Drosophila melanogaster: one gene and its partners. The protein of the gene in region 1 interacts with the protein of each later gene in a pairwise test. Each region holds a gene or a part of one and is shown in the gene's direction. Other genes may lie near its edges.

Evidence for each region.
Region 2: the proteins of eyg (region 1) and CG34168 interact in a two-hybrid assay, tested with the Drosophila melanogaster proteins (one large-scale study listed by BioGRID).
Region 3: the proteins of eyg (region 1) and CG6660 interact in a two-hybrid assay, tested with the Drosophila melanogaster proteins (one large-scale study listed by BioGRID).
Region 4: the proteins of eyg (region 1) and CtsB interact in a two-hybrid assay, tested with the Drosophila melanogaster proteins (one large-scale study listed by BioGRID).

The regions. Positions count from the first base shown.
Region 1 is NT_037436.4:12,462,010-12,470,042, reverse strand, and holds eyg (eyegone), read left to right. Parts: upstream 1-2,021; 5' UTR 2,022-2,424; coding exon 2,425-2,557; intron 2,558-3,878; coding exon 3,879-4,199; intron 4,200-4,879; coding exon 4,880-5,020; intron 5,021-5,145; coding exon 5,146-5,729; intron 5,730-5,940; coding exon 5,941-6,774; 3' UTR 6,775-7,506; downstream 7,507-8,033. Other genes in the region: CG32102 (uncharacterized protein), read left to right, coding at 620-886.
Region 2 is NT_033779.5:16,134,176-16,137,282, reverse strand, and holds CG34168 (uncharacterized protein), read left to right. Parts: upstream 1-2,010; 5' UTR 2,011-2,121; intron 2,122-2,188; 5' UTR 2,189-2,194; coding exon 2,195-2,377; 3' UTR 2,378-2,569; downstream 2,570-3,107.
Region 3 is NT_033777.3:22,921,531-22,925,054, forward strand, and holds CG6660 (uncharacterized protein), read left to right. Parts: upstream 1-1,821; 5' UTR 1,822-1,940; coding exon 1,941-2,327; intron 2,328-2,389; coding exon 2,390-2,821; 3' UTR 2,822-2,995; downstream 2,996-3,524.
Region 4 is NC_004354.4:13,779,291-13,783,874, reverse strand, and holds CtsB (cathepsin B), read left to right. Parts: upstream 1-1,704; 5' UTR 1,705-1,945; coding exon 1,946-2,065; intron 2,066-2,141; coding exon 2,142-2,402; intron 2,403-2,548; coding exon 2,549-2,716; intron 2,717-3,224; coding exon 3,225-3,698; 3' UTR 3,699-4,028; downstream 4,029-4,584. Other genes in the region: amrt (amaretto), read right to left, coding at 702-1,376.

The DNA.
Region 1 (8,033 bases):
GGGTCACCGGTTTACGCAATTTCTTACCGTGCAGCGATCGGTATCCAGATATTATTTACTTAGTAAATTATTCCTGTTCGATTGTTTGCGTTTGCTCTGGATCTCTGGCATGAGGGCACTCGAACGTCATCGTCAGCAGCGTTTCATTCATGATTCGCCTTTCACAAATCGAAGAAACATATATGCACGAGTGTTCGGTGCATTGTGCACTTTGCATTCGAACAGACAAATAAATACAAAGGCAGTTCTGATCAGCTTAGTGAGACATCTCATTATCGCCAGGTGATTCTGCTGAACCATATCGTTTCGCATCCAGATTTCTGCACTCGCTCCTCTTTCCACCCGATCCCATCCCATCCCAACTGATCTCATCCCATCTCATTCCATTGGGGAATCATTTCAGGTAATTGCTTTTTAACTCGACTCTCAGCTTTCAGCTTTCATCTTTCAGCTTCCAATTCGAATCCTGCATCGCCGGGAGCCACTCAATCCGTGGGCTTTGATGCAATTTGGCTTCTGTGCAGGCCACTCTGCCACTTGGTGTAGCCCGTTTCTGCCCCGTTCTGTTCTGAGAGTTGCGAGCTGCGAGCTGTGATCTGTGTGGCTCCCCGATCACGCCATGTGTAGTTTAGTTGCAGTTTCGATTCACATCGGATTGCCTTGCCCAGGCAGCACATCAATCATCCATCACGCACCAAAGGCCGGGAGACAACGACCCAAAACGGGCAGTGCAAACCTGAATGGCAAACGGCCCATGCCACGCATGCGATTTATACGTGTCCAAGGTTCACTCTGGATCGCAATGGATGCAATTTGGCCACTTCACTGCACATTTGACCGGATTAAAATTCCTTTCAAATGGCTATATGCTACTAAGCTCTTTTAAATTGCAGGCATTTTAGTTATTGTTATTTAGCGATCATTTTATGTTATCTTTCAATGCAATAAACGATTTAGTTTGTTTAAAAAGGACTTTCAGGCTTAAATCTTCTTTTAATAAGTTTATGTTTAAAAATCGAGTTTTAATTGCAATTGGTCAGTTTAAAAGCGGAATAGTAGTTATGAAGTCCACAAAAAGGAAGCAATTTAATGCTTTTCTGTTTTATTATAATGCTAATGTTTATATTTTGCTGAGGTATTATTTACCAATTATTTATATATATTTTTTTGTCTTTCTCCTGAGTAGAATCAAATAAAAAGTAAAACAAACATACCATACTGCCATTTTATTGATACAATATTACAGCTATTTTAATAATTTCGAAATAAAATATTTTATTATTATTATTTATTTTAGAAGTGTAAGCAAAAAGCCAAACTTCTTTTCAGTCTTTAGCCTTAATTGTTAGAGATTATACATATGCATGAACTTTTGTAAATGTAGCTCATTTGTACACAGATCGATATGATAATCAAGAGTTGGTATTTGAAAGTGCCTACTTATTGGGGCCATGGTCTCTGGCTTAAAGTAACGATAAATTGAATGCATTACTCAACAGTAAAGATTACGAACTAAATGTTCCTAAATGGTACAATTTAAGCTGTACGGTTAATTCAATCAATTAGAATATTACATTAGGCGAGAAATGCACCTAAAGGTTGACTTCAAACGTGCTATGGTATCCCAACTACATTTGTAGTTAAAATTAAAGGGTTCCCCAACTCCTCTTTCTCTTCTTATTCTGGTTCTTCTTCTTGTCACTTCCCCAAAGCGTTCGCTCTCTCTCACACTCACTGCTCTTCATTCGTCTGCTTCTTCTTCTTCTTCTTGCCACTGTTTATACTCAGCACTTTACCAACAACGAGTTTATAATTGTTTGATTTGTGTGCGCGCATAGTGTGCATGTGGTTGTCCCGCTCTCGCGCAGAAGAGCGAGAGAGCAAGAGTTTGCCTCAACGGGCGCCATTATGAAAGTACGGTACTCGTAAACCGGTTGGCGTTTCGAAAAGCACTCAAAAGCGGAGTGAAACTGTTCGAGTGGAGCGGAGTGACCCGGGTGACCAGGTGAAATTCAAGCGCTCATTGTGCTGAGAGCAGCTTTCGCGTGAACAACGTTTCAACGGAGCGCAGTGTTCGCAAGAAATTCGATAAAAACAAATTCTATAATAAAAATAAGAGCAAGAGATACGCAGGAGCGTTTTCTAACTGTTTCTGTCGGGATCGACTGTCGTGCATTTGTCACTGTGTGTGTATCTGTGTGCGTGTGTATGCGAGTGTGTGAGTGAGCAGCACGCTATGAATCCAATTGACCGCATTGCGTTTCCATTTCCGTTTCCGGTTGCATTCGCTATAATCGATACCTCTGCCTTGGATGTGCGACACTTGTGACTGTGATTGTGTTATACCCAAATAAAATTAATAAAATAAACAAATATAAAATAACAATAAATAATAAAGAGAATTGGAAAGAGCGATTCTTAGACATGTTGATTGAGCCGACTTTAAACCGTGACCTTGGCTCGCTTACTGTCGCTAATTCTGGCCTCTCGGCCGCGCACTGGAAAATGGAGCCCCATCCCCAACGCATCACATCGCTGGCCCCTCACGCTTCCAGTGGTAAGTGCCCCAAAGTGCCCATGTGAAGTCTTGCCGACGGCAAAGCCAGGCTTGGGGATTTTAAGAAAATATACACAAATCTTCAAAAAATAAATCCGAAACTGGGTCAAAGGTGTAATATGTCATTCGATAGCAAATCCGGAATGTTCGAATTTTAATTTAAACAAATTAGTTCTTTCGCGATAAAACCTAAAATCTATTATTGAAATTATGTATAACTAATAACTAAGCATCGTTTAAATTAGTGTGTTAAAACGGTGTTTCGGTTAAAGTATTAAATAAAGTATCAAACTGGGTCAAATGTGTTTATGTGTAATTCTTAACCAGATCCATTTAGTTTGAATATAGTTGGTGTTAACTTTTCGCTGTAAAACAAACAATTTTTTATTTAAATGGTATATGGTAGATAAATTATGTAAATTATCAAATTGATCATACAAAGGTCTATGTAAAACTAACTTTGAGTGCCTTTTTATTTTCTTAAACAGAAGATAAAATAAGTGTGATCCTTTATAATATTTCTAGTTTAAACAATGTGGGCCATTTATAAGAAAGCGATTAAAATTTGTCATGTTCGTACTTAGTATGTTCATAACAAATGTTTTATGTTATTCCAACTTAAATCTTCAGTTAAAACAAACACAAATCGTTACGCATGTCACATTACCAATTGCGTGGCTCATTTGACAGTCCCATTTCCTTGCTTTTCACCTTTAAATAGACCGAAATAAACAAAACTGGTTCTCATTTGATGGGCGGCACAATTGATTATGGGCCCATATACTTACATATATGTATATTCAGTTAGGCACGACTGGAGGTGCGCGTATTTTTTTAAAAATATTTACTTGACAAACAACAAAAGTGAAACGCGCATTTAAAACGCTAATTGACAATTTGAGCGACGAGTTGCCCAAGCCGAATGATATATGTAGGTTTTTTAAGCGAAGGCAAATATAATATTCTGTCGAATTAACGTAATACACAGTTGTTTTTCTACTTGTTTTTTGCTTTCTTTTCGTATCCAGCTGAGTACATATTTTAATTTTCGCCTTTTGTACTAAGAGATCATTGTCGTATCAATTAGCTTGATAAATCTGCTCGTGCCTGGAAGATTCGATTGCGTGTCGCCACCATTTTGGCCATTCGATCAGCTTAGACATTTGCTGGGGTAATAGAAACGCTAATATATTCGTAGGACCCATCAGTCATTTCGGTTCGGTCAACACAATTAACGCTTAATTTATCATAATTAACCATTGTGGCCGCGACAGCTAAAGCCACAATAAAATAACAATACCCAATTATCATTCAATTGCAGTAGCGGCGGCATCCGTGGCAGCAGCAGCAGCAGCAGCAGCGGCAGCGGCAGCAGCGGCGGCCGGAGCGGGATCGGGAGCGGTAGCCGGTGGCGGAGGGGCCACATCCACATCACCCACATCTGTGCAAATACCACCCGGCTTTGGCGGCGGCGGCTCCACTGGCGGCATTCCGCACGGTGCAGGTGGACCCACGGGGAGCACATTGAACACCCTGATGTCACAGCATCGCCTCCTGGAATTCTCACGTTTCGGTGGACTGCGTGGCTATGACATTGCCCAGCACATGCTAACCCAGCAGGGAGCTGTCTCCAAGTTGCTAGGTGAGTTGTGAGCCCTTGAAAGGGACGACCGCTCAGTTTCTCAGTTCCTTCCCTCATCAGATAACTAATGGGTACTTTGTTTTCGATTTGTTTGCTAATTTTTATGATAAACATGTTATTATCCTGCGAGTTGCCCCTACCATCCCCTGCGTGGCGTATCCCTCGTGTGCGCAGCCGTGTAATTTGGCCACTTAAAATTGCATAAACTCCTGACTGGCGGTGGCCAAAACGCGGCTGGCTCATTAATCAAAATGCGGCTTATTCACGAGCGGGTATTCCTTGGTGGTAGTGTTGGTTGGTGCGTGCTGCCGTGCACTGAAAGAAAAAAATGCTTAATTCCAAATAAGGATATGTGATCACATTTATTCCATGTTTAGAATTTTTTAAGTCTTTTAAACCCGTCATTACAGTAACTTTAAGTAGTTAAAATCACTCATTTTTAAGTTTTCCAATTCTTGAGCTGCTCTGGTTTCTACCAGTGTATTTGCCAAGGCTTGTATTGTTTTCCCATTCATATTTTCCATACATCACATGTTGATGAAACGAGCAGATAAAGATATTAGCAACCAGGGTTAATCCTTGCTGCCAGCCAAAAACAGATGGATTGCCAAAACCAGGCTGGCAAAGTCATAAATCCATTGTCTCATAATTTAACTGGAATTGTGCTCTGATTCTTGCAGGCTCGCTGCGACCACCGGGCTTAATTGGTGGCTCAAAGCCCAAGGTGGCCACGCCGACGGTCGTCTCCAAGATCGAACAGTACAAGCGCGAGAATCCAACGATCTTCGCCTGGGAGATACGAGAACGCCTGATTTCGGAGGGTGAGTGTTCCACATAATTGCAGCTAATCCGCGGACGCAGATTGAACGCTGATTGATCGGCGGTCGCTTTTAGCTTTTGATCTCGATCTTCGACTGCTCGGTAATTGCGTAATCCCGCCTTGCAGGTGTCTGCACTAATGCCACCGCTCCATCGGTGAGCAGCATCAATCGCATCCTGCGCAATCGAGCCGCCGAGCGGGTGGCCACCGAGTTTGCTCGCACCGCCGCCTATGGCCTGTACCCGCCACCCCCTCATCCGTACGGTAGCTTCACCTGGCATCCGGCCGGCAATGTGCCCGGCGGCCAGGGGGTACCACCACCGCCACCTCCATCCGCCCTGTGGTCCGTTGCCGCTCCCACGCTCGCCAATCTGCCTCCGAGTGCAGCGAGCGCTGTGCCCGTCTCCACTTGTGGCTCCCTCAGTTCGGCGCACTTGATGGCCGGCGGAGCAGGTGGCACACCAACCAATCGGGCCATCTCCCCTGGCTCTGGCAGCCATGATACCTTGGAATCAGCGGATGAGAACCGGCACATAGACTCCGATTATCTGGATGACGATGATGAGCCCAAGTTCAGGCGGAATCGGACCACCTTCAGTCCGGAGCAGTTGGAGGAGCTGGAGAAGGAGTTCGACAAGAGTCATTATCCTTGTGTGAGCACCAGGGAGCGGTTGTCCAGTCGCACCAGCTTGAGCGAGGCAAGAGTTCAGGTGAGTCAGGTGAAAACAAAGGCTTCACTCAAAACTTTCAAAAAGCAAGATTAAAAGTGGCTAGTAAAGTAGTTACATACCATTTGATTTAAATTAATGAGTAAATCAATACTTTTATATCAGAAATTAGAGTTACCTCTTTCAAAGCCAATTAACCAAAACCTCAAATAACTAATCTTTATTAAATATCATTTATTTCTACCCTTTCCAGGTGTGGTTCTCCAATCGCCGGGCTAAATGGCGTCGCCACCAACGCATGAATCTCCTGAAGCGTCAGCGCTCCAGTCCCGCCAATCCGCTGCACTCGCAGCAGTCGAACGATGCACCGGCCAGTTCGCCCACGCCCAGTAACCACAGCAGTGCCTCCACCTCCGCTCCAGTGGCTCCCGTGCCGCCACCTCAGCAGCCGTTGCCCCTGTGCGGTGACCACTCGCCACAGGGTCCGCCACCTTCGGTGCTGTTACACCCACTGCATGGTCCTCCGGGCGGCCACCATCACCATCATCCTCTGCACCTACCCACGCATCCAGCTGCCCTCCAGCTGCTCAGCCACTACCACCAGCAGCAGCAACAGCAACAACAGCAGCAGCATCAGCAGCAGCAGCAGCAACATCATCAACAACAACAGCAACTCTCACCCAGTGGATGCAATCCGGCGGCGAATCACCTCTCCATGGGCGGGGAGCGTAGTGCCTTCAGGAGTCTGGTGAGCTCGCCCTCGGCGGCTGCCTTCCTGGGATTGGCCAGGCAATATGCCGTGGCTGCATCATTAACGGTCGCCGAGGAGCAGCGCTCCAGATTGCACTACTCCGCAGGTGGTTTGGGGAGCGGTGGTGAGGGCACGGGACCCAATACCAACACCACTCAATCTGGCGGCTCAACCATGACGGTGGACAACTCGTCATCGGACTCGGATGAGGAGATCAACGTGCACGACGATTCCGATGGTGAAATTGAGTCGTCGGCGGCAACGGCGGCAAAGGTGGCTCGCCTGTCATCCTCCGATGCGCCGGCCACGTTGCAATTCCTAAAGCATGACCGCTAGATGGGCGACATGGGCGACAAGGGCCACCTGGTCTAGATGGGCGGCGGCAAAGTCTAATTGAAAACCTGAGTTGTGCGCGCCTCTGTGATTGACAGTGGCAACAAAAACAAAAGCAGCAAAAGCAACAGCAACTACTGATGCAATTGCAATTGCATTTGAAATTGCAACTGGTGGACTGAAATACGAGAAGCGACTACACACACAGTGGGCAAACAAATCGAAAAACCAAAGTTAAAATGCTGCTCACCTACTTGGCTGCGGTTCGGGGTCGCTAGAAAAAAGAAAAAAAAAACTAAATAAAAATAGAAAAAAGTAAACAGAAAAATGTAGCAGAAAGCAGCAGCAACAACATAATGGGCGGCTTAAGATTAGCTGAAATTGTAACTAATACCCGATACGAACACGCTTGTCCCACTTGAAATGCACATGCCCATTGTATACCCTATAGTTATGCATAATTATACTATAATACTTGTTCATTCGCCGGCTGCCGACTTACCTCATCACCATTTAAGGCTATAGCATATGCAATATCTAACTATATGTAACTTTAAACTTTAAAATAGTCCTAAGCCAAATCTATTTATGAATGCGTATTGTTTAAGGATTTGATTCTTGAGTTGGTTGCGTTTGAACTGATATTTAGTGCGTAGACTAAGTGTTTTTGGCTCAAATAAAAGAAAAAAACTAAAATGGTCAACCGCTGAGTGAGAAACCAATAAAAAGTGCAAGAAATAATGAAGAATCGTTTACTTTCTTTCGGCAATAAACAAACAGAAATATATGACCAGGAAATCGGTTTGTATAGACTCGCTTTGGTTTGACAACAAATACAATTTATACGTTCGATTTCACGCATAATTATCCATTCAAACACACTGGGCAACAAACAAACACACCAAACACGGCCGAAAAGCATAAATAAGCATTTAACAACACTCGAAAGCTTCTTAAAACGTTATTAAATATTAATACACCGAACGAAGACAGAACAAAAAGCCAAACGAAATCGAAATCAAAAAAAAAAAAAAAAAAAAAAAAAATCCAAATCCAAAATACGCGCATAGAAAACGCTTAAATTTCGAACGTAATGGCCAATATGTCCAAATCTGGCTGATAACATCGACATTTTAATTATAACCAAATGAAGCCGCGCGCACAAACACAGTGGGGACAGACTAAACGCGACGAGGAGATGAGAATGGATGGTATGGTTTGGTATCATATGGTATCGTATGGGGACCGATTAAAAATGCCGA
Region 2 (3,107 bases), on another chromosome or scaffold:
AAGTCCCCATCGCTGGATTATTCAGACAGGCAAGTGACCACAACAGACTTCCTTTGAAGGTATTTTGCCAATTTATTAATCAGAAATCTATTTTTACTACCCGAAAATTTCCTTTGTTGTCGATAGTAATAATTATATTTTAAAGAGTACAGATTGTGTATTAAGTTTAATTTTTATTTATAAGTTACATAAATGAATAATTAATATTTTATGGTTTTAAATTAAATAAAGTTTTCTATTTGACTATGTAGAATCTATGTGAGCACTTGTAGCTTTCCTCATATGTATGTATATTTTAAAATTTATTGTGCAATTATGCATTATTAGTTATGATTAAACATTTTAATGGAGTTTTCTTCCGCTTTTAAGCTGTGAGTTACAAACAAATAAATCAAAAACATAAGAACGGAACCAAAAACTTATCGCTCCAAAACTTCCGCTGCACGGACGCTCATAAAATGGGGGACATTGAACTTCTGAGCGGGCTGAAAAAGGCATTGCTGAAAACTGTAAAAATACCAGCGAAGAAGCCGGAAAAAAACAGTGGAAAAAAGTCACATCAACACGAAACATTAAGCTTCACAGTCACAACATATTCGGCTCTTCGATGCATTTTCCTTAAAGTCGCCATGGAGTTCAAATCGAATGGGAGCGCACGCGCCTGCGAATATGCAATGCTGTAATACGAGACCAACACGCGATGGAGATGATGTTTGGTTACGGAAGGGGATACGGGAATTTTCCCGGGGTATTCGGGGTTCCGGAATCGGAACAGAAAATAAGCTCAACCAGACCCAAAAGGCCACCAAACGAACGGGCTATTTACGAAGGGCGGAAGTGCTTTAATTTAATGTTGGTAAAAGATAAGAAGTTAATCCGATCAAATTTTCTTGGCCTTTCCTTCATTTAATTCGATTAAGTAATAGATGAGATAGTGATGTTGGAAAATCGATGTACATGAGCTTTATAAGTAAATAAACTTGTAAAATGTACAGAATTCTTCATCCTTCAGAGTTTTTTTTACTTATTTTCTTAAACTCATAAAAATTAGGAACTTCGAGATGGATTAATTTACACTCAGCCTTACAGCTTATTTGGGTGAAAACGTGAAAAGTGTTGGGGTAATCGACTCAATTAGCTATTGCATAAGCACACTTTGCACACTCCCGCGCCAGCCAAACAAACACCAAACTCAATTAGATGCCATAACTAAATAATCACAAACACATTTACGCCAGCAAGAGCTCTTTTCAGTTGAAGCAGACCGGTTGGTAACCAAGAAACGTGGCAAAAAAAAAAGAAAAGAAAACAGAGAACCAGGTCAACAACAGAAACAACATGAGCAACAATTTTGAAACAATGAAATGACGACAACGACAGAAGCGGCAAGGCATGCCTGGAAAATTGCTTCCAAATGCTCAGAAGCCAGAGTGGAAATATGGGTAGAGTCGGAAAAGTGGGTGGCCTGGGTGGCTGGGGGACATTCCAACATGTGACGCACGTGACAAAACTTGTCAAGTGACTTTACTTCACTTTGACTGCGAATCCCGGCTCTGTTGTCCGTAAACAAGAAGACGGAATCCCGGCTGTGAAGAAAAATAGGTTTGTGTGCATTGCCCAACACAAAATGCTTAAGAAAACTCTGCTCTTGGTAAAACAATGAAAGGTGGGGCAAAGAGGAAAAATCAGTCGCGGCTTGGCTTTTCCGACTTGTTGCGCCTTCGGCTAAATTATGACATCGAGAGTTTTAGGGGAATGGGAAGTCCTTCGGGACGGACTGAAGTATTTTTGGAGGAGCAATGGAGTGGAATTTTATGGGACACACAAACAATCGGGAACGGTTTTATGAATTAAAATTCTTAAAGCGAATTAGATAAGAGGCTAAGAGGCTAACTGTATATATAGTTAATCAAATTTTAAAATTTGGAAAAAAGCATTTTAAAAGCAGGCCATGAAACCACAACATAGAAGGCCATGAAATCAAAGTTAAATCTGTAGAACTTTGTGGACCAAGCTAGTGGCTTTAGCTCATTATAGTTTCGGTTCTCCAACAGAAAACATCTATTTGTACGACTACCAAATTTCTAGGACTGAAAATCCTACTTCCGTAATCAGGCTAATGTGAGTGTGAACAACAAACGAATTTGTTTCTTGAAAATATCCTCGATTCGTTTCATTTCGTTTTCAGAATAAAATGTGCAATCCAGGAATGTGCTCGATGCCCGGCACTTGCTGTGGACCGACTGGCGGACTGGGACCCTGCCTGCTCTGCGGACCCTACAATGGCCAGTGGTTCCGTTCGGTCAACCACTGTTGCGGTCCTTGTGGCCCATATGGTTGCTGCTCATGCTACGGGCCGTATGGTGGACATTGTTAGCCTGCTTAGAAGGAATGTAGGGTTTCTTTATCCGCGATCTGGAACAGGAGCTTTAAAGATTGCAGCCGTGAGGCCTTGTCGAAGATGAGGAGCCACGCTGAAAAGTTGTCAGGCAAAGTGGATCCAAAGATTTGTGTTCGATGAAAGATTATGCCATCAGAAATAGATGTTAATAAATTATACGTATAATTCAAAAATAGACCACTTTAATTTCACTTCACATGTATTGCTATCAACAGTTAGCAAACCTAATTAAATATTTGGCATGCATTCTGTGGAAACAATCACAAAATTCCATCTCGTAATTTGCCGTTTTTGGTTTTCTTTTCAGTCCGCCGGGTGCATTTAAGGCTAAACCCCATTTGATTGTAAATATTTGGCTCGTTTACGGCTAACGATACATCGGGGACCAGCCAAAAAGACGTGTAATGCTAATGGGCCTGTTGAGTGCAAATTTGTTTACGAGTAAAACACCACTAAAACAGATGGGCTTGCTGATTGCTTTCAATTTTATTTAATCGAGGCACCCCGCATCAGATCGACCAGAAAAATTGATATCGTTAAACATAGTGAACAACAGAAACGGTAAGTTTAAAGAGTATATCATCGTGATACGGCTACTTGGTGCGTTTGAGTGCTTTGCTAAGACTGGGGAAATACTCGTCACTGTTGAGATCAGGAGCTTGAGGTTTTCCGGACATCTTGGATGGAACCTTACGCAGACGGCTCT
Region 3 (3,524 bases), on another chromosome or scaffold:
TAATTTTCAGGGCGACCTGTTAAGGCCAGAGTTTTTCCTTTTCCTTTGGCCGGGGCATCGCCAAAAAGCCCTATAACCGTGAATCCGCACATGCCCGTATATACGGATATACGGATATACGTATATATCCGCACATTCAACGTCTTGGTCCTTCGAGTCGTATATTTGCATACTTCCGGTGCGCGCAAAATGATTATCATTATTATTTCTGTTGTTTGCTGTTGTCGTTACCGCGGCCATTACCGTTATTGCAACGCCACTGGCAGCGGCTCCTCGCTCCTGAAGTCCCATCGTCCTGTCGTCCTGTAACTCCGAAAATGGCCGCCAATCGGAGGGGAACGTGCGACGGTTATGGCTTATTTGTGCAAATGAGCTGACGTCCATTACATTGTCCGTGGGGAGGTGAAATGCAAATGATTGTTTTGGCGCTGGCTGGCTCAATGTCTGCCGCACAACAAGGTCACCGCAGGAGCCCCAAGGACACTCTTATTCACATGTGAGTGTGTGTGTGTGTGTGTGGGCTGTACACATATCGCATCACTTGCGGCTTAAGGACACGCGAGTGAAAGTAAGTGAAATGGCCTCGCCCAACTTAGCCCACCTGGCCTTGTTTAATAGCCAATAAGGTAAACTTTTCGTACAGATCCTTGATTGATTCTCCTCTATAAATTGGCACATTTACTTATCGAAATAAACTGAAGCTCCTTAACTGTAAACTTTCGACCACAAAATGCTTGCCAAGTTTGCACGTTGCGCAAACAAATTGCACCTGCTTCAGGTTGATTAGCCACCTGCAGCCCATCTCCTTTGCTACTTTGCTCCTTTGCTCCTTTGCATGGCCCTCGGTTTGCGCTGCAAGCCAGGTCGTAAAACACTTTTGCCTATTTCGCTGAGTTGGCTCGACTGCGATCTCCAGCTCCTCTTCCAGTTCATCTAGCTCCTCCAGCTCCCGCTGCTCTTGCTGTTGTTTTTAAGAGCCATTTGTCCGATGCCCGCGGCTATTTACAGCCATTGTACAGACTTGGCGAATTTATCAAGCATGGCGGAGTCGCTCAGTGGGTCACTGGATGGTGAATGTTGGTGAACTGGATTCGGGATGCCGGATACTAGATGCTGCAGCTGACGTTACCGCCATTTTTCCGCTTTTCCTTCACTTCGCTTTTGGCTTAATTTCAAAACAGTTGCGCTTATATTGGCAGTTATGCTGCAAATTTATTGGCATGCTTTGTAAACTGGGTTAGTTGCATATATCTCGCAGCCGCAAGCTGCGAGCCAAACGATTAACGTTGAGTAACCCAAATTGATGTCACCACCCATCGACCGCAGCTAACAGCCCGCACCACCCACCGCCACCAACATTTGCCCGCTGGAGCATCATTTTTTCCCACTCAGCAAAGTTTCCGTAGCGGCTGGTTATAGCCCATAAATTCTCATACATTGTCAAGTAATAGCTAAACCCTGTTTACCCCCTGACAGGCACAAGTTCATAGAGATAAAGAAAAAATGTGGCACAATTTGGTCACAACTTTTTTAGAAAAGAGATAACCAATTTCTTTTCATAGTGAGATTGCTTAGGTCTTTTAAGAAATTTCAACTATGGAAAAGATGATCGGCACTTGATCTTGAAAGTGTGGTTTTATGCCCCGTTTTCCTTCAGTGTTTTTTGAGCGTAAACCCAAAGCAGTTCCAAGTTTATAAACCGGCGACAAAGAACGAGAATCTCTCTGGCAGTGCAACGCCTGACACGGGTTAATCCGGTATGCGTGGTGCTTCTCATTTAACGGTCATTAACATAGCCAGCCGGAATGCTTGGATAGACTGTGCTTTCGAGCAGTTCCGTTCAGAAGACTGAAGACCCTCGTGTCTCGTGGACTGCAAATCGCTTTCCGGCAGTTCGGCAGGGAGTATTTTTGAATCGAGGATCCAGAATGCGGCACAACATGGTGGCCTACCTGTACTGCCTGGTCAGGGATCTGTACGCCGAGCACGGAGATCCCCGAGTGGCGCACTTGCCCCTGCTGGGCAATCTATGGATCGTGCTGGCCATTGTGGCGCTGTATGTGGCCTTTGTGCTCCACTACGGACCACGTTGGATGGCGAACCGTGCTCCCTTTGAGCTGAAACGTGTGATGCAGGTGTACAATGTGGTGCAGGTGCTGGCCAATGCCACGATATTCGTCATTGGCCTGAGCAACACCTACCTCCAGCCGGGATACAGTTGGACCTGCCAGCCAGTGGATCACACGGACAGATCACCGGCCATGATGAAGACATTGTACGCCTCGTATGCGTACTACATGCTCAAGTATCTGGATCTGCTCGACACGGTTAGTTGGGGGCTATATACCGTCTATATACCTTCTATACCCATATACAAATGCATTCCCAGGTATTCATAGTGCTGCGCAAGAAGAACTCGCAGGTGAGCTTCCTGCACGTGTATCACCATGGCGGCATGGTCTTCGGCGTGTCCATCTTCATGACCTTCCTGGGTGGATCACACTGCAGCATGCTGGGTATAATCAATCTCCTGGTGCACACGGTGATGTATGCCTACTACTATGCCGCCTCATTAGGCGCGGTGAAGAATCTTTTGTGGTGGAAGCAGCGGATTACACAGCTGCAGCTGATGCAGTTTGGCTACCTCACCTTTCATTTCCTGCTCGTTATTGTCCGGAATCCGTGTCAGTTTCCCGTGTTCATCGCCTTCATCGGCTTCATTCAGAACATCTTCATGTTCTCCATGTTCTTCGACTTCTACTGCAAGACCTACATACGCAAACAGCGCAAATCGGCGGAGCACAAGCTGAAAGCCAGCTGAGCTGTACTGCCGTTGAAAATGAGGTTCAAGTTCGCGCCGCGTCATTTCCATATTAAATTGTGTAATAAGCTGGTCGGTCGCTTATGCAAATGGGCACCGATCGAACCCAAAATGCCTGGTATAAATAAACATTTCGGATTGTTTCCCAACCCCTCCGTTTCATCGCCACAAAATACATATCGCTCAATTGTTTTGCTTTTGTAATCAATTTCAATTTGCCAGCGGCTAGATTCGGAGGCTCCTTAAACTTTTCTCGAAAACTTCTTAACCGCCTGGGAAAATCGAAATGGAGCACGGAGAGCGAAGGCGGCGACAAGTTATGAAGTAAGTTAGCCGGGCATATCTTTTATTAAAGGGTTAAATGAAATATCGATGAAGTCGGCACCAGTTATGGCCGCCACGTGTTCCCGACCCACATTTCTCTATATGCTTCGGCCATGTGTCGCATGGGCCCCTGGGCCACCTTTTAACTTTCTGGCCAGCGTTGTTTTTTTCTGGCCCCCTTTTCAAAGCCAAAGAGTGGAAAAACCAGCTAGCACACCCACAGTGTTACCCCATGTTGAACACATTTGCCTAGAAGGCTGCCTCATTCATATTTTTTCCCCCTCTTTTTTTTTGTTTTTGCCATGGCATTTTTTCTTTGCCAGAAGTTTTACATCTGCTTTCGCTCCCAAAAAAAAAAAAAAAATGGAAAACCAAGGGG
Region 4 (4,584 bases), on another chromosome or scaffold:
TTATTTATGCACCGCGCAGTGCTTATTGTTGTTGCCGTTTCTTGCGGGAGAGATGCGACGCGCACGCAGCGTCGTCAATGGAGAAAAATAAAAGAGAAAGCGCCCGCTCAGCTCAGCCAGTCTCCGTTGACCGCGCGGTTGGCGAGCTTTCTTGCAACTGACTTTCGAGTTTGAACGCGAAACTTTCGATTTCCATTTCCCGATGGCGAAGGACGATAGCCATCATACGATAACGATAGCCCAATGGAAAGCAGCTGTCGGAAATGCAATGGATCCACTGAACAAATTTTGGAACAGCTGTGGCGCTACATTCGAATTGAACAAAATATACTTTAAAATTAAAAATAAAAACGATTGTGCAAAGTCAAAACGTCCCTTTTGATGCTATGCGGGCATTTTTGCACGGATCAAAGCTGTAGTTTTGGTGTAAGCTAAAAAAACAATTGGTTTAAGAGGCAGTCATTTGATTGTCTTAGGCATATAAAAACTATTTAACTGTACTTCTAAATATTTATTTATCCTTACTTTACATCTAATAGATATGTATGAAATTATTAATTTCAATGATTTTATAACAAAGGTATTTATAATGAAATAAGGGGCAAGTTAATTTAATTTCCTAACACTACGAATTAATCAGTGAACAAGATTAATCTTATTTAACTACTTAAAGCTATGACACAGAGGCATATCACACACGTCTAGACATAGGGATTCCAATTGCTGCCGTCCTCGGGCAGCAAATTGTTGGTGATCAGGAGGATGACGTCGATGATCCACCAAACGCCCACGCCGCCCATGGTAAGCAGTTTGCCCACAGCCGTGCCCGTTTGACCGAGACAGAAGCGATCCATACCGAGGAAACCCAGCAGCATGCTGTAGATCAGTGTGGTCACAAAGTAGTGATCCGTGTAGCGGACACAGGGCACTCCGGCGCGCAGAAAGGTGCGATTACCGTAGCACTCGATGTCGGCAAACACGGTGCACCAGACCATGGCGTGCTCCACCTCTTCGTACGTGGAACCACCGAACTTCAGGCATCCGTATTTCTTTTCCTGCTGCGCCGTGGCGTTCTCCCGATGATCGACGGGATCCTTGCAATCGAGAAAGTCGCGCGGCAGAAACGAGCACATCACATTCGGTCCCAGTGGATAGAAGGCCGAGTTTCCAGCTCCGCCCGAGGCGGAAGATGCCGAAGATGACGATGAGGAGGGTCCCATGCCGGAGCCCAGTTGCGCCTGAACGGGCACCACCGATTGCACCGCCGTGCCGGAGACCACAGTCTGCGGCTGCTCCTTGTCGCTGCGTGCCTGTATCGCTTGGGCATCGTGTTGTCTGGCCACCAGGAACGCCAGTAGTCCGTAGAAAATCCGCATCTTTGCGAGCTCCTTATCAAAATATAGCTAGCCAGTGTGGCCACACCTTAGCACAGCTAACAGAGCTCTGTTATCTGCGATGGCCTACCGATAGTTCTGATTTTAAGCACCACGACAACGAATGGAAATAAATAAATGCAAATAAACCACCTTTCAAGTAACAGTGCTCCTTAGCATATTTATTGGCATTAGTGTGATCGTAGTCTTTAGTTAAGTACATTTAGTGAAGTGCTATTTAGTATAATGCGTTTATTTATTTCAGACTAGTTACCAATCACGCGCCCATCTCTACATTCGATAGGCAACGGCCCTGTTGCATTGGTGTGCACACACTGGCCGCGTAATCAGCGGGCGCGAACCATTTTTTTTTTTTTTTGTGCGACAGAACAAAAACAAGAGAATAATAGACGCTTAAAGAGCATTACCCGTCCGAATTTCACGGGCAGTACGAAAACAAGAACGGAGCAGAGAGCCCGCTTAATACGACGCGTCATTTTCCACCATTTTACTGCTGTGATTTGTTTGAATTTTGCTGTGTCAGCGCATTGGAAATTCGTTGGACAAGAATAATGAATCTATTGCTCCTGGTGGCCACCGCGGCCTCCGTGGCGGCACTCACGTCCGGTGAGCCGTCACTGCTCTCGGATGAGTTCATCGAGGTGGTGCGCAGTAAGGCCAAAACCTGGACGGTAAATTCCTTTGTTTCCAACCCTTTTCTTGCTGACGTGACAAGAAAATTGCATTTTCCCGTTTCCTATCCGCCAGGTGGGTCGCAATTTCGATGCATCCGTAACGGAGGGACATATTCGCCGCCTGATGGGCGTCCATCCGGATGCGCACAAGTTCGCACTGCCCGACAAGCGTGAAGTTCTTGGCGATCTATACGTGAATAGCGTTGACGAACTTCCCGAAGAGTTCGATTCCCGCAAGCAATGGCCAAACTGCCCAACCATTGGCGAGATTCGCGACCAGGGTTCATGCGGCTCCTGCTGGGCCTTTGGTGCCGTGGAAGCCATGTCCGATCGCGTACGTAGCTTACCTTATCGATATTATAACCCCTTCCATTCTTTGTTTGTCCAGCTGATAAATTTCCCCATTTTTTTTTATTATTATTTTCTTTTTGTATTTGTTATCAATGATTTTTTTTTTTTTACTGATTTCGCAATGGGCAGGTGTGCATCCATTCCGGCGGCAAGGTGAATTTCCACTTTTCGGCCGATGATCTCGTCTCCTGCTGCCACACCTGCGGATTTGGCTGCAATGGCGGTTTCCCCGGCGCCGCCTGGAGCTACTGGACGCGCAAGGGAATCGTCAGCGGAGGACCCTACGGATCTAATCAGGTTGGTGATCTTCTCCTGCTTTAATGGGATTTTGCAAATCATATTTAGTTTGGTTTAAAAGGGCTTGCAATTTGGTTTTGCTTGCAGATGAGTTTCCAATAAAAAAAAGGGTTTGTTTTCTAACGAAGAAAAACATACTTTATGTGCAAAAATAACCTGTATTTGTACATATTGTATTTCTACGCCGAAATAGTTAGAAAGCAACTTGATTTTGTTCTTTGTTTACTTGAAGTGAACTGAAGACTCAGTTTACGACGCCATAAAAAATTGTATACCACAGATATCGCTAGAAAGCGGCTTAGTATATCATATACAAACATCCATATACACAAAGCTATATGTATATATATCATATACGAACATCTATAGATATACATGCATATATTGTGAATGCACTCCAGATTCGCGTACATCCTCAACGATAAGTTTTAGCTGCTACTAACTCATTTCCCAGATATAGTAAGGCAAACAGAAGAAAAAACGATTCTAATATGCACTTATTTTGCAGGGCTGCCGTCCTTACGAGATTTCTCCCTGTGAGCACCATGTGAATGGAACCCGACCACCATGTGCCCATGGCGGTAGAACGCCCAAGTGTTCGCACGTCTGCCAGAGCGGTTACACCGTCGATTATGCCAAGGACAAGCACTTCGGCTCCAAGTCGTACTCGGTGAGGCGTAATGTGCGTGAAATTCAGGAGGAGATCATGACCAATGGACCGGTTGAGGGCGCCTTCACCGTTTATGAGGATCTCATTCTGTACAAGGACGGTGTCTATCAGCACGAGCATGGCAAGGAGCTGGGCGGTCATGCCATTCGCATTTTGGGCTGGGGCGTTTGGGGCGAGGAGAAGATTCCGTACTGGCTAATTGGTAACTCGTGGAACACCGATTGGGGCGATCATGGTTTCTTCCGCATCCTGCGTGGCCAGGATCATTGCGGCATCGAGAGCTCCATTTCGGCGGGTCTGCCCAAGCTGTAAATGTTATATGTATTCCGGCATCAAGCTGATATATCAAAACCCCTCTATTTTCTATCATCCCTCCTTTTATTTTCATTCCGATTCGCAACTGACGTTTGTAGTTAATGTAAACAACCTAAACCTGATTGATAATAAAGTATTGTATATGACTGTGGAACTGTACTTTGCTCGTATACAGTGGGACCTCTCTAACTAGAAACAAGGCAAACAAAAAAAAGAAAATGATTATCAAACTGGAACTCAGATATAATTAAAAGCGAATAATACTATTTGTGAAACAATGCTATAACTATCCAACTATAAACTATTGTTTAGCGTAGCTATGCCTTTTTTATTTAATAGTAGAGATTAATAGTAGAGAGTATCTGATCCTCTATACTATGTACACACATTTAAATGGAACGCCGTCAATCGTTCAATCGTTAAACTGGCTAGCTGTATGTTTTGCGAGTTATAAATGTGATTAGCATCGCATTTGATTAATCAAACAAAGAGTACAGCTTGCAATCGCATTCGTCATTTGGTGCGATTTTGTTGAGTTAATTTATTATTACATTAGTTAGCTTGGCCATACATACATACATACATACATATATGTACATACATATGTAAAACTTATCTCGTTGAAGCTGCCCACAATTTGCAGCACCAAATGTCCATTCAAATTGTACACATATTTATTCACATAACATGTTTTATTTATTTTTCTCATTTGCAACATCAAATAGAACATTTGTTTTGTATTTTCAGTTTTTTTTTTGTTATCTTGTCATGAACCAACCGCTTCTCTTATCGATTTTCTGTGAATTGATTGACTGGTTTTGTAGCCACTCTTCTATTCACCGAAACTCGATATTTTTCTAACAAACAGCTTACATCGAAAAAT